Linked DNA regions of Stegostoma tigrinum. The protein of the gene in region 2 interacts with the protein of the main gene of each other region in a pairwise test. Links are inferred from orthologs where the notes say so. Each region holds a gene or a part of one and is shown on either strand. Other genes may lie near its edges. The genes, in order: nr2e1 and bcl11aa.

What was found.
Region 1: the proteins of bcl11aa (region 2) and nr2e1 interact in a two-hybrid assay, tested with the Homo sapiens proteins (2 studies listed by BioGRID). The link is inferred for Stegostoma tigrinum from reciprocal best matches to the Homo sapiens genes BCL11A and NR2E1.

The regions. Positions count from the first base shown.
Region 1 is NC_081357.1:27,101,592-27,109,417, forward strand, and holds the start of nr2e1 (nuclear receptor subfamily 2 group E member 1), read right to left. Parts: upstream 3,135-7,826; 5' UTR 2,704-3,134; coding exon of another isoform or gene 2,688-2,703; 5' UTR 2,408-2,687; coding exon 2,383-2,407; intron 1-2,382. UniProt on the Homo sapiens protein: Orphan receptor that binds DNA as a monomer to hormone response elements (HRE) containing an extended core motif half-site sequence 5'-AAGGTCA-3' in which the 5' flanking nucleotides participate in determining receptor specificity.
Region 2 is NC_081362.1:41,927,252-41,935,287, forward strand, and holds the start of bcl11aa (BCL11 transcription factor A a), read left to right. Parts: upstream 1-4,847; 5' UTR 4,848-5,101; coding exon 5,102-5,156; intron 5,157-8,036. UniProt on the Homo sapiens protein: Transcription factor. Associated with the BAF SWI/SNF chromatin remodeling complex. Binds to the 5'-TGACCA-3' sequence motif in regulatory regions of target genes, including a distal promoter of the HBG1 hemoglobin subunit gamma-1 gene.

The DNA.
Region 1 (7,826 bases), on a different chromosome or scaffold from region 2:
ACACAATTTTATGCACTAGGAAACATGCCTTTAACTTCTGTCAGTAGGGGGTCATTTGACACTTATTGTGTGTAATTATTACTTAAAAGTATATGGCATATTCTATTACTGTAATTACCCTCAACGTTATAAGCAGTTGAAAGAAGTTATCTTTGATTCGAGGAAAGTGATTGTTGGGGGACGAGTCGGTTTCTATTGCCACCCATGCAGCGGCCTTGTTTGTGCTTCACACAACTAATAGGCAGAGTTAGAGAGACGAAAAAATAAACACGATGTTTCCACAGCCCACCCAACAAAAACAACACAAACCCAGCGATGGGCCTGCGTAAGAACACTTCGCAAATTATCGCAGAGGAAGAGAACACTGGAAAGCACTCTATTAAATCCTGGGAATGAAAATCCCTGCTCGTGAAAATGCCTGTGAATTTATATTACACAAGGCAATTCTGGACTCCAATGGAACAACGCGCTTTCTTAATCCACCTCTGTCTAACAAGAGTACGCTCTCCTGCTGCACTGTCCTGTTCTAAAGTTAACATTTCAAATTACTTAGCTCTTTAGACGTGCTTACATTTGTTGAAATAAAATCAATCATACTTTGCCTTTTCACTGGGCAAACACCTCTTAGTTGGTTTCAGTAGCTGCGCTTGAAAGATAATCTTGCTCCGACAGTGGGATTATACACCAAACTTGGGGAATTGAGATGATGAGGTCGTTTCTTTCGCTGTTTTACATTTGTTTCCCATACAAGACTGATTGACCTAACTGTATCTCTTATCTAAGCTGTAGTTTGGCTTTATTTGCACTCCTTGTTTTTAATGTCGATGTAGTCTTTATGATCCTGAACACTAACTCTGTTTCCAACAGCAAGGACCGTATTCTTACGTATCTTTGACAATTGAAAGTGCATTCACTTCCCTACCTGTCTTCGTGATGATGTGGATTTCTAAAGGTGCCTTTTATAACCTGGTTGCAATGGCGCATCTTTCATTAGTATCAGCCGCGCTGCTCTATACGACTTTGACTTTCTTTGAGATTGTGCGCAGATTTACAGAGGATGGAATACTTTGTTCGATGGGATACTCGATGTACTTCTTAATGAATTCCTCAGTAACGCCTCGAATGATATTATGTGACTTTTTGATTGATTTCACTTAGGTGGGCTTAAGTTTTCATCCAGGGGCTACTTGTTTGTGAGCGCGGAGCTTTTCGGCAAATTTCTACCCTTAACATCCTACAGTACCAACCAGATATTCAGGATTAAGGAAAGTGTGAAATCGTTGTGTAGCCACTTCAACAAAGTTAAACACACAGCTGTGGCCTGCAAAGCCTGGATTAAGTGAGGAGGAAAAATACATTAAATGAAGGGAATCACTTCTGCACAATGGTAGAATCTCCTAATTTAGTCGCTACCGAGAAATAGCAGTTTCAGTGTAAGAAATGAGTTACCGCTTAACAAAGCTTCATAACCACGGGAAGAGTGCATTTCTTATCCAAAATAACATGCTTGTGATTTCAATCGTAATCATCGAAATACCTTATATACCTGAATATGATATAGTGATAACTGAGGTTGTATCAATATACCTCCCAAAAATCTGGAATCTTTCACCTAGGTTAAAATGAGAGATTGCTGGTTCTTTCTTGAAATGGCGAAAATATACTCTGTCCGTGTGCTTGGAAAGTAACAGGAGTCTATCACCGATTGCTGATCGAAGCTTCTCACTTCACTGATCAGGACTCTCCCAATTTAACTTTTTTTTGTGTGGTGTAGGAAGGAATCCGCCAGCACACGTACGTTACCCATAATAAAGTGCTTTCAGACTTGAAATGGAAGCAAAACTGTTTTGTATCAGCACCCGGATTGTGAGTCCGTATAACTAGGGGCGCAAAACTTCCCGTGAAATTAGATCGGTTCGCGTTTGATTGCGAACAGATTTTAAAGAAAAACCGCGTGCATAATGTTAGCAGCCAAAAAAAAAGGATTGGGACTCCGCAAACTTGGAAGAGATACCGCTTGCTCTCTGGCCACCAAATGAGACCTTAGGGGAGTGAGCAAACTGCACTGCATTTCACTGAACTCCGAGCTTGTTTAGGTTTAGGTATTGAACTATCTACGAGTCAATTATTTTACTTCGAGGCCCTGCGAATATAACCCTCGCAACCTGAAATCAGGTCTCTGAATCCAGTGACAATTAACACAACTAAAATTGCTGTTTTACTAATAATGCACAGGCTGAGTTGAAACTAACAGAATTAAGTTCGGGCAAACACCCACCCACTTGCCCCGGGCCACCAGTTTTAACGTACATAGTTTTGGGATGTTTCTCCCGCCCAAGGTTGAAATCACGGAACAAATTCATATTTTTACACATCACCCACTTGTTGATCCGGCAGGCTTGCTCATTCTTGCGATGCTAGATCTGGGGATGGTCGGGGTGGCGCTTATTATAGAGCGGGCAATCTCATGAGGCGCTCTAACAGTGTGAAGCAGCGCGAAGGGAACCCGGTTATAGTCCTTCCGTCGATCAGCCCGGCTGCTGTCTGCTCTCAACAAGCGGAACGTGAACTCCTAATTTCTTCAGGCGCCTTCGCACCAGTCAGTCTTCAGCCGGTGACGTCCATAAGTGGCCAGCTCTCACCGTCTCTCTCTTGGGAAGTAGGAAGGATCTGATCGCTGAACTCACCGTGTCCATCCGTCATGCAACAAGCCTGTGGAAGTTCCGATCCTCAGAGCTGTCAGCGGTTTCAGAGAGAGAGAGAGAGAAAGAGTCCTGACTTTCAATTTGACCGGACAGAGAAGAAGAAGTTGTAAGCAGCAGCTTCCGGTAACGTGAAGCAAATGATGATGAATTTTGTTTTGGACACTGGCGTGATATGCAATGACTGTGACCTCCCAGATTTGGTTTCGGAAGCCAAAGCTTTCGCATAAACAGGAAATTTGAAGAAATCAGCGCAGGTTAACAACACACTCCCTTGCCCAGTCTCCAGTCTGTATCTCGCTGCTTTTCCTTTCGCCACATTACACTCTTACGTCAGTACCCTTCAGCCCTTAAGATGCCAATTGCATTTCCGAGCTCTGCCTAGGCTTTAAAGTTACAACGAAGGGGTTTTTTTGCGCCGAAAGGTGGTAGGGTTGGGAGAAAAGGGGTGGGAAGAGGAAGCTGTTACTTTGTCAACCGATCCAAACAGAGAGAGAGAGAGAGAGAGAGATTGTCCGCAATAAAATGTTTTGCATCAGGCTCATTGCCCGTGGAGAGAAAACAGGAACAGGCACATGTACAACGTCCTCAATAATAAAACCGGCAGAGGTCTTTCATTTCAATAAAGTGTCTTTAAAAACGACAGGTCTTGGCCTCAGTTTACAAAGCTGGTGAGTAGAAAGCAACAAATTCCCGTGTAAGTTTGTTTATGACTGTTAGTTACAGAAAGTTTTCCTGTTGAATGCAACATTCCTCTCCTGCGATGTTAACGTTTGAAATTACTGAGGAGGTTCTTTCAAGTAGACTCTGTGTGTTACCAAGATTTACAAACTGCAGTAAGTAAACAGAAGCATTACGTTCTTGAATACCTTGTTAGGCGCTGCAAAATGTAGAAAGCCAAATCTTTGTGGTTATCACAAATATTGCTAATATTTAAAATCACGTTTTTTTTGCTTAGTGAGGTAGCAATAATCTGTTAATTGGTTAAATGCAACAAGGAGATTCTGTAAGTTATCTACTGCCGACCTCAACTGATGCAGAAACTGCTCTAGAGCTTCCCTAGCTCTGTATGTTGAAACTAAAGCCGAAAGAACCCCTCTGTGTTGTGGTAACTGGTGAAGCAAGAGGTTGCTAAACTCTCGGATGGAATCGTGAGGATTGATACTTTTCCCTAGATTGTGATTAAAGGCTCAGCGCATTGTTCCTGTTCGCTCTCGGGAATGTTTTGGCCCAGGGCGCCGCAAATCTGACTAAAAGTTTCAGCACCTTTAATCTGCTACAGTTGCTAACGACATAACGAGCAGGGATCCGTGGGTGTTTTTTAGATGAAATGGATTGCGTTGTGACATCGGTCACGGTGGACTGATGGACTTGGCTTTTGCTGCAAATCCTCTTGTCCGAATCTATCGGCGAGTTTGACTGTGATGCCCTCTAGGCGATCTCGGTTATCTAACTTGTTCCAATCTATTAGCAGCATGAAATCTCCTTGCAGCAATGCAGCGGCAGTCAGTTCCGCCCACTCGCTTCCATCCACCATCACCAGTCACATGACCTGCGAAAATCCCACTTTACAAAGATAGTTTAATGCCATTTTGAAAACTGGAGTGCAGATCAGTGAGGTTAAGGTAACATTATATTCAACTGAAATCCAGGGCGTCAATGTATGCGACCACTCCAATGCTTTAAAATAGCAATATTTTTGGACTGGATTCAGAGCACATCTATAAAAAGTACATGTACCTATAAAACGTGGCAAATGCAGACTTTCTTTCTAAAAAAATTAATTTTTCCAAGTACCACTTGCGGAATCAGCTACCACTGTAATTATTCTGAAGTTATTCATTGCAACTATATCATTTGTTCGAAACTTTATTTAATAATTCACTTTTCCACTGGAGTTCAGAATATTCACCACCATCTGATCAATTAGTGGCCACAAAAAATAAAGTTTGCTGTCTGTACAACGTCGCGGAATGGTAATGTTGGTCAGGCTGGACCCACAGTGGAACAAAGCAGATTTTTTTTTAAAAGAAAGCTAATTTCAAAACTTTCCAACTCTTACAAACGATCAGGTGAATGGCGGAAGGAATCGAAAAGTACTTTTTATTGGACGATAAGGACATTAAAAGTTGTTTGATTTGTGTTGTATGTCGTTGAGCATTTAAAATGGTCGTTGTTATTCCGGAACAGGAGCAGGGAGGGCCTGCAATTTATCAACTATTTGTAAGTTCTTGAAGCAGTTCGCTAACAGAATCTAAAAATATTACAGAACTATATTAGGGATGGGCTTAACGCCTTTTGCTGTAAAATCAATAAATTCAAACTGAACATTTCAAAGAGAATATGCTATTGGCCATGATTTCATTGGCAAAGCGGAATATCAATTCGGATTATCAGAAAGACTTGGGGTGTTACACTGTAACCAATTCTAATAATTATTGCAGAAAACTGACATGAATTTGACTCGTCCTATCAGTCTTGTCCAACCATAAGCGATTTCACTGTCTTTTGGTGTTGAAATAAAACAGGCCTCTATGTAATACTGATTATGAGAGCTCGATGTGAAACATGCTCTCCACCGTGCATCCATTTTCACTTCCTCACTAACTCACATCCAGTGATGCTCCAAGCACCTTGGCATGCATAACAAGATGTGGCAATCTGGAGAGGCTACTGCCTGCACACGGAATCCCTTCCAGGTAAAATAAATACAGCAAGAAATGAGATAAATCTCGGGGGTAAAGGCAAGAAATGCTGGCTGTAATATTGCAAACGAAATTGTATTAGTTCTTCGAAATGCCACCTATCTGAAATCCATTGTTCTGGCGACGAGTTGTACCTTCCTTTAAACTCAATGCAGAAACCTTGGACAATAATTTCAGGTTGATTTATCTTAGCGTCGTCTCTTGGGTAGAAAATTTCAGTTTTGTATTGTAAGCACTTTATTTACTACCGACTGTTGCAACATGCCTCCACGAGCACCTTCCTTCCCAATACACTGACAGGGTCTTCCCCATATTGAACACAAATTCTAGGCTAACACTCCAGCATAGTGAAGACCTAATGTGCGATCGTTTGCGTGAGTCATCGAATCAAGAACACACCTGCCCTCGCATGTGAATGCAAATGATCCCAAGGCACATTACTAGATGAGGGAAGCTGTTCCTAGTGTCCTAGCTAATATGTTTCATCAATTGATATCAATGTTTATCCAGACTATTGGGCCACTTTCACACGCTTTTTCTTAGTGGGGCTTGGCACAGGACACTTTGCTGGCCTTTCTGTGTTGCAGCAGTAACTACAGTTAAAAAGACACTTCATTGACAATAAGTCACTCTGGGTTGTGAGTATGAAATACACTCCGTAATTGCAAATATTTCCTTCACTGGTCAGTGAACTTTTGCTCCGGGTTGTAATATGTGATTGATTCACTACAAACAGCCAAATGAAACTCAGGACAAAGATACAAAAACGATGTTTTTTTTAAAAAAGACAATAGCGACAGCCCATCTTTTATTCACGTCTGGAACGTGGATATCGCCAGTGTGAATCATCCCTCGTCTCCCTTGCGAAGGTGATGGTGAGGTGTCTTCTTGAACCCTGTAGCCCACGTGCTGTAGGCTGACTCACAATGTTTTAGGGGAGGAAATTCCAGACAGCATGTTTCATGTATTTGTTGCTCTTGTCTTTCTGTATAGATGTGGTCATGGGTTTGGAAGGTGTGTTTTAAGGATCTCTGGTCAATTTCTGCAGAGCATCGTGCACAAAGTACACATTTCATGGGTACACTTACTGAGATAATATCATATTTCTCTATCTTTCACGTAAAAGTCAAGTCACCTAATCGGAGCCATTGATAGTTTACTGGTGCAGTAACTCATCAGATGGACTTGCGTTTTTAGCTATTTTCACAATCATCAGCTGTCTCAAATCATCTCACAGGCAAAGGATCATTTTTGAACAGCAGTCATTGCTGCAATGTAGGAAATACAACAACCATTTTACCCACAGCAAGCTTTCACAAACAGTAATGTGATGGTGTCTAGGTAATCAGTTGTTTTTTTTCCATTTGCGATGTTGATTGACGGATACGTATCTATCAGACAAAAGGGAATAACTCTCCGGCTCTTATAAACCACCTGGATTTTTTTTTACACTCAGCAGATTGAACGCGGTTTAACATCTCGCCCAAAATACAGGATCTAAGGCAGTGCAGCTTTCCTTCAGTACCACACGAGAGTGTAGGCGCTGGTGTTTGTGCGCATGCCCTGGAATGGAACTTGAACCTTGAACTTTTTGACCCTGATTCGAGACTGCGACAAACTGAGCCAAGGCTAGTATCGGACACAAAGTATTTGATGATTGCAGGAAATGCTATCATTAAAAAAGAGGCAAGACAATATAAAGTAAATTGTGTAACCTTAAAGGAGGTGGTGGAACTGAGGGACCTGGGGATATTTATGAATGTATGAGGTCGGCAGTGCAGGTTGAGTACGGGGTGGCACGGGGCATTAGGCTTTAACCGGTCCATGCGTGAAAGGGTGAGAAGGTTACTAGAAACCTTTATAAAACATTGGTTCTGCCTCAACCTTTGCATTGTGCCCAGTTTTAAGCAGCCATACTTCAGAAAAGATGTAAAGGCATTAGAGATGGTGCAGAAAAGATTCAGGGGAATATTTCCAGGCACGCGCTACTTCAGTTGCATGGATAGAATGGAGTTAGCTGGGAATGTTTTCCTTGCAGATGAAACTAAAAGTGAGGTTTAATAGTGAACGGTTTGGACAAAGCAGATGGTGAGAAACTTCCAATTCCAGGACACGCAAATTTAATGTGATTGACAGAAGAGGCAACTGGATCATCAGGTAAAGGTTTTTATTGGAGTTGTTAGGATCTGGGATGCGGTGTCCGGAGGTTTCGTAGAGGCAACCTCAATCGTGGTTTTCAACAGCCAGTTGGACAATTACCTGAAGATTTTTAAAACATACAGCGTTACGGGAACAGGTGGAGAAATTACACTAAATGACACTTCCTGCTTTTGCAGGAAACCACAAAAACAAGGCGGGCCGAATACTCTCTTTCCATGCTGCAGCCCTTCAATGATTCTGTACTAACATACTTCAATCC
Region 2 (8,036 bases):
ATTATGGGCCAACAAAACATCTGTAAAATAAATTATCATGGAGGAAATAACAAATGATAGGATGTTCTTATACATTAAAAGAAAGTAAAATCGTTTTGAAATCCACCCAAATTAAGTGGATTAAGAAGGTCAATTAGATTTGACATTTTTTTTCAAAAGTGACCGAAGTTGCACAACTTTAAATTGAGGCAAAAACAAATGGCTCCTCGCAGGAAATTATACACATAAACGTTAAAAATAGGTCCAATTAAGTAGAGAGACGTTAGACGTTAGGTTACTGGAAAGACAGCTATGTGCTGGAGACTGCACAAGATCAGCTGATGAGTAATGTACAAGTCGCTATATCTTTGCAAAATAAATAGCCGCGAGAAAATATCTAAATGACACATATAGAGCAGCTTTGGTATTTGGGTCTAATCCTTTAGACAATTTAAGGGAAACAAATGAGAAAAAATATGTTTGGTACAACTGGTTGTAAGGTTTCTTTAAGGAAGATGTAGTTTGCAATGGATGATTTCTAGGTTTTGGTAGTGGAGACCAAAATGCTCAATATATATCTAAGCTAATGAAAGGTACTTGTTTTCATGTCATTTGGTGGAAGCCAAAATCCAGTTTTACTAGTTTTTTTCACACCTGGACGGCAAGGCGGGGGAGGGGAGAGGGAACGCAATACAAATCCAGCTACAGACAAAACAATCTTTGTTGTGCTACTACCTCTCGGTTGCCTGTCTCATCTTGAACAAAGGCAATGAATATTATAGCACCAGATCCATATGTATAACAGAGCACACAGCATGCATGCCACCAATTACGTTTGGATTGTACAGCAGGGGCATTTCAAACGCTACACTTTCTCACTCAATTTTGTATGCCAAGACACAGATCTTTTGTTCGCGATTAGTTTTGGTACAAAGCCTACACGATTTGCACTTCTGAATATAGTGCAAACGTCATCTGAACGCTTTCTGCTCAAGTGCCTCCTAATATGTGGGATGGAATATGGAAGCTTGTAATTGACACTCATTTTTACTGGCAAGCGCTGGCACGTCTTCAAGACTGTGCAGACAATACTGAAAACATCGCTAAGTTCGCCTTTTTCAATGGGTGCTGCGACGAACCTGTGCAATAAAGCTCGCTGGAACTGTGGTAAAGAGAAAATATTTGAAGGAAAGTGGTTTCGTCTTGCAAATAGATCCGTCTTGTCAACAGACAGACTTCAAACAGTGCAGCCACTTTAATATAGTGGAAGTCACATGCCACAACTGTCCACTGCGTTCAAATGCTTCTTCAAATTTATTGTCCCTTATATTAAAACGCGCTTCGAAGTTAAACGTCACAGGGTGATCAATTAGTTACTCAACAATTAGTTGTTGCATTGCAAACCAAAAACTCTGACTTTATCTTCCTGACAACTGAATTAAACTTCCGAATTATGCAAGCTGTTGACCACTGACCGCAGAAGCTATGTAGATTATGCGAAACATTTGATTACAATCAGCAACAACAAGGCGCTGATCACCGAGCAAAGGTTGGCGGCGGCGCTAGGGGTACTCCTGCAAGTCCCGGACAGAAAACAAAGGTTATATATATATATATATATATATAAAGTACATTTGCTGAATGATCTAAGAGACGGGGGGTAAAAATAATGACAAAGCAGCAGAAGGATTTGATTTATTTTGCGAATGGATCGAGACTGCTAATGTCTGATCATTTACATATTGAAATGCGACCAAGCGGACACTCAATTTTCCTGCCCATGTTTTGCACATGGCTCTCTCGATTTTCAAGCAGCCAGGTTACCTCGCAACGCCCCTTGAGGAGGTCAGGCGGTCGATTCCGCGTTGATCAATTTTGACTGCAAGGCATCAACATTATGAAAAACACCCTGGCACCAGATGGAGCGAGGTCTAGGTAAAGGTCAAGGTTAGCTCAGCCTGCTATTGAATCGGCTGCGTGATAGATCGTTGACTCGCTTTGCTCGGAGGCACCCATAGGGGTTTCTGAGAATAAAAGGAGTCACAAGTGAAACGCTCCGATGCTGCTCTGAATGCTAAAATAATTATTCGGATGCATTAAAAACGAGTAGCCAAATTCTTCCATAAGAAAACACACGCGCAGATAGGTGCTGGGAACATTTTATTAAGCATATCAGTCTGACTTCGAATACCCAACTCCAGTCATTGACTACATTACTTAAAGTTAGTCACTGAGCTAATCAAAAGATGGAATTAATTCCTTCATTACGGATTTGTCCATGAAGTGGTCGTGAAATTACCGAATGCGTCGATACTCCCTCCACCCCACCCCCCAACTCCCTCTCCTCAGTCTCTTCCAGGCACTCGATCGGATCTCTCCGTGCTGGGTCCGAGTTTCACTGGGCAGACATTACACACAAAAGTTACTCATGTATCCGCGCCGGTAGTTTTAATCAGGAAAGAGTGGAGGAGAGGCGCGCGGCGGCGGCGGGCAGGGGGTGAATGTATGTGTTTGTGTGTTGGGAGGAGGGGGGCGGGCGGTGGGTGTCTGTACATTTTTATTTGACTGCGACTTGGCAATAATTGGATTCGCGAACTCACTTCATAACTACTGGACAAGATGGTAGATAAAAGGCGACCAGGTTAGCAGCCAGCTTCCAGATGCAGATTAGATCAGAAATAATTTTGCATTAGAAGTGGGGGAGGTCTGCTGGAAGGAACTTGGCTCTGGCAGTTCGGCAGCGCTTTGCCCTCGCTCCCTATAAATTTACCGAACCCTTTTCCTGTAGAAAACCGCACGGTTCGAAAACAAAACAACCTACAGTCATTTGGAATCCTTGCAGATGGGAAATGTACTTTTACCGTTTTAACAGAAGTGCCATCCACCTCGGGTTAAGAGTTATAAAACCATTTTGTTTTACATCCATGACTTTAAGTAACCTAACTTCCTCGTGTGAGACGGACGGTACAGCTGCAACCGCAGATCTTATCTGATCGTTGAGTGTTAAGAGTAAAAATAGTTAACCCTTCAACCACTTGCTACAGCTGGTGAAAAGAAAAAAATGGCGCAGTTTCTGTTAACATATCGCACCATTGATCGCAATGAGTTCAATTTCACTTCTGCCTGAAATCTTTTGCTAGCCATATTCACGTCTAGGGCCCTCCAGCTAAAAGTATTTATACTCCACAAAAAAAAGCACCATCATACACACAAGGTTACGTCTGGGGAGCACAATACTTATACTTCATGGAAACAATGACTTAAAACGCCTCTGAAATCTTCCATATTCTACGGTTCCTGTTGCATCAGTACAAATTTATAGTACAGCACAAGTTTTAAAAACAAGATTCTTCAAGCTACCTATTCCGATAGTTATCTCGCTGAAGTCTGCAATCATGCACTCGAGAGACAAAATTCTTTCTTATTTACGATTTTCTAATTGCAAAGCATGTTACACGATTTTTTTCTAGTTTGTTGTGCAGATTTTATTTTAAATAAACATGGAAGGGCAGATTTATAAAAAAACTGTTATGTTATATTGATTGACTAGACTTTCAGCCATCACATTTAATCAAACCATCCAAGTATCACCAAGGGCAACAGAATTATCATAAAATCATTTTCCTTTAAAAAAATCGTGTGCTTGAAATGTTATTACATTTTTTAAAATAAAACGGTCGATGCAGGTGCAAAATCTTCAAAGGTTACTCGAAAACTCCTTTTCTCACCTCGCATAAATGAACAGGGCCGTATGTGTATCTTGAAATGAGAAGCAGCATTGCTATTTTAAACATAATTTGCATTCAACTCCAATACCTGCAACTAAAGTACCTGCAAATCCATTGAAAAACGAGAATGAACTGTGTGAAGATCAATTATCAAGCCGTTCTCGGTTTAACATACTGTATAGAAGAGCGACACAAAGGGTAGAAAAATAATAGGATTAACATTTTCACTTCATATTATATATTCACGTTACTTCAAGCATTTCCACGGTCTTGTGAATTATCCGCCAATAAGTAACTGAAAACAGCAGAGATGCGAATAACAGGTAACGCTAAGGAAATAGATAGTCGAGGACACTTCCTTTTATTCCACAAACTAAACATAATATAACGTTATGTTTATAAAGCACATAAGCACAGAAAGAGTCAGCAACCTTCAGGAGCAGTTGCTTTTGTCATAGAAAGTGAAAGAAGGCAGTAGACATGATTTATGATTTTAATTTAAAATAATATACAAATGTAAATATCTACGCTCTATCCAGCTGTTTGGATTCACGTGTACGCTATCGAATTTCAGTGGGCTGCAAATTCTAATACTCATTTGGGTATTTACACCATAAAATACTTTACAAACCTTGTTTATTCCCCCTATCACCACTACACATAATTAACTTTATGAATAATGTCAACCTTTTCGGACGTGGTTGGCAATCATAACGGGGACACAAAAACAAACGCGGAGTGCATGTGCGTTCCCCTTCCTGATGTCCTGCACGGGTTGTCCAGCGCAAATGTCTCATCACTTGCCCAGTTCTGGCCAGCAAGCGTTGCGCCCATGAGTTGCCAGCAGTTTGGGCTGGCACAGAAAGAGAGAGAGAGAGAGTTGGGAGCGGTGTGGAGGGGAGCGCGGTTGGAGTGGCTTTCAGAGAGAGAAGGCGGTGGTGTGTGTGTGAAGGGGAAGGGGGTGGTGGTGTGTAGATGGTGGTGGTGGTGTGGGGGGGGGGGGGGTGGTGGGAGCGGTTGCAGCGGTAGGCGGATGATGGATTGATTGGAAGCTGCTGGAAGCTGCGCCTATTGGATGCCTGGGACTGAGAGTGAGTGTGAGTGTGTGTTAGTGAGACTCTGTGTGAGCAGTGGGGTTTGTCCGGCCCCGTGTCCCTGGGTATGTATCATTGGCTTGCTCTCTCCTCTCGCCCTGCCCAGCCACCTCCTGACGTTCAAGTTCGCGGGCACGTCACGTACGCACTTGAACTTGGTCGTTTTAAAGCCATGACGGCTATCCCACAATCCATCTCCATCCGCCATCTTTGTATTATTTCTAATTTATTTTATGTCAAGCCATTGATGAAGATATTTTCTCTGGAGTCTCCTTCTTCCCGCTCCCGATGTGACCGAGCATGTCTCGCCGCAAGCAAGGCAACCCTCAGCACTTGAGTAAACGGGAATTTTCACGTGAGTAGCTTTCAAATTTTTTTTTGTTCCACTTTTTTTGGGAAAAAAACATATTTAAAAATAAAGCGCTCCGTTGAAAGTGCAGGGAAGAAGAAGAAAGATCTTCCCCGGCGGCCCCCCCGCAACCCACCCCTCTCTCTGGTGAGGTGCCGGCAGCAGCAGCGGCGCCGGGGCTCGATCGGTCAGCGCTTTGACCGGACTCCTGACAGCAAGTGGCCGGACTGAGGGGCAGAGCAGCTGCAGGGATCTGAGCCTCCCAAGTGTCCGGCTCCAGATCCGCTCAAATTCTCTTATCCACCTTTCCCCCCTCCGTCACCTCCATACACAAACAAAAATCCTCCACATGCCAAGGAGGGTGGGGGGTGGAAAACAACAGAAGAAATCAGAATAAACTCCTCAGGAGGTGAGGGGCAACGAAACTGTAAGGAAGAAACTCAACAAGAGTCCAAAAAAAGTGCCGATACCCCTCCCGCCCCCTCCTCTCCGGACACTCGGCGCTGGCTTTGCAGCTTTGATCGCGCCGCCCCTCAAAGGGCATCAGTCCCCGAGCCCCATCCGTCTTCCACCCCCCCCCACCTCCCCCGCCAAAAAAATTTAAACTTATTCCCTCTCCTTCCTCCTTCCTTCGGAAGCCGGGAAATCGTCTCATACTCGCTCGCAAGTTTAATTCACCGCTTAACTTCTCCCGCTTTCCCTCCTCTTACTATTTTTTGGAAGATTTTCAAAAAAAATCTGGAAGTAGATTGTGATTGGGAAAAATCTCGTGCTTGAATGTTTACAACAAGCTGCAGCTCCGCGTGTGCGGAAACCTCATGGAAAAAAAACCCAGCGCCGACGCTCTCACATTTTGCAGCGTTTCGCAAATCCCCTCCCAGAACTATTAAGTCTAATTAATAATTTTGTTTTGAAGAGTCACAAACTCCGCTGTAAACCCCGGGTGTTAGCGTTGCTGTCCTCGGGCAGACACGCGGAACTCTCGGGGCTGACCGAGCTGCGGGTGTCAGTCAGTCCGGGCGCGCACACGTGCGATCCGCCAGATCGGGGAGAGGGGGGAAGAGATCCTGAGGAGTGGGAGGCCGGAGAGTGGGAGCCCGGGCGTAGACGGAACACGGGGATAGAGATCCTGGAACTGGGGGAGAGGAAGCCCGGGTAGAGGGACCCCGGAGCGAGGTGGGATCGGTATAACTGAATGAGAGATCTTGGAGACGGGTGGTGGGGGTTGGCGGAGGTATGTTGCTGGAGAAAGAGAGAGCCCGGAGCTGGACGGAGAGATTCGGGAGTCCGGGGGGGGGGGTGGAGGAGGGCGGCGGGAAGGTCGGGGTGGGGGGTGATGTGGGTGGTGAGGTAGAGACGCCAGAGTTTTTGGATACACTAGTCAGAGAGAGAGAGAGAGAGAGAGAGATATCCCGGAGCCGTGGGGGTGGGGAGAAATAGATGGGGAGGGAGAGAGAGAGAGAGACCCGGCAGCACAAGAGAAGGGGAGAGCGGGAGATCTATGGGCGGTGGGGGAGAGAGAGAGAGCGAGAGCCTGGGGAACGACAACCCGGTGGACGGAGTTGGGAGAGAGTCCAGCTCCCGGCACCGAGATCCCGTGGGGCAGGGGAGTCCGGGTCCCGGACTCCGTTCCCACACACGTTCGGAAGGAAGTTATTAACAGCCCCACCCCACCCCCCGGAATGTTAAGCACACTGTTTGGGGAGAGGGAGTTTTTAGCTTTGGTTTTTGTGAAAATGAGACTTTGTTCCTGTTGGGGGAAAGCCGCAGGTTTGTTGTCAGATTTTCCAGTGTTGCCGTCATCTCTGAGATTGCGATCGGCCAGTTCCTGGGCTTTCACATTGAAATCCAACAGAGCGAGCAAACTGGCGAGAATTGAAAAGAAATACCTGGCGAATAAAGTATAGTTAAAACTGTAGTGTGGGAGTTTCTTTCGCGTTTAAAACCCGTTTTTCATAATTCAGTGATTGTGGGAAAATGTATTTATAAGCCAGACAGTGGAGGAAAAATAAGGCGATTCGTCTTGTCGATAGAAATCGCGGACTTTTGGCTTTCTGAATATTTTCTGTTTTGCCAAGTCCCCGTTGAATCGTCTCAATGTAGAATATTGGGTCTAAACGGAAGATGTATCAAGGTTGTTTAAAGTGTGCGTGAGGGACTGAAGGGAGAGGGGTCGATGCTGCGCGCTTGTGTCGCTAGGAGGCAGAGTAACATCAAAAACAAGCCCAGGCTGCAACCTGCGCAAACTTCCAACACCATTTCCTAGCGACTGCTCTCAGATCTTCCTCCTTGTCCTCCCCCGCCGACCAAAAAAAGCAAATTAAACGAAACCGACCCCATCCCAAACACACTCTGCTTTACTGGCTGTTTTCCATCCGATATTCTTCCAGGTAAAAGGGCTAAGTCTGATGCCGAGCTTCACCTGCACGAGGGCTCGACGCATCGGAATTATTGTTGAAGTTCGTTGAGTTCAGGCATTATTCTAAACAAAAGCAATCAATTAAAAAAACTAAATAATAACACAGCTTACCCCTTCCCCGTTAAAAAGCTTGGAGAAAAAGGAAACAATTTTTAAAAAAATCAGTTCAGTTAATGATACAGAAGCAAAGTTTGTTCAATAACAGCAGCTAGTTGTTTGCTCTAAAGAATATTTTGCTTTGACCCACGTGTGTGTGATGATTGCATTTTTTAAAATTTTGGGAAATGCTTTGGAATAAAACAAGGCGAACCTAAATAAATGAGTGGGAGCTTCGGCGATCAAGTGAGTGTTAGTTTGTCCAAATCCACTGCTCCCGGTCTCATAACACTTCCAAATATCTCACTCCGCGCATCATATCTTCCGCAACTTTATTGCCGTTTGCTAAACTCCCCTCGAACCGACATTTC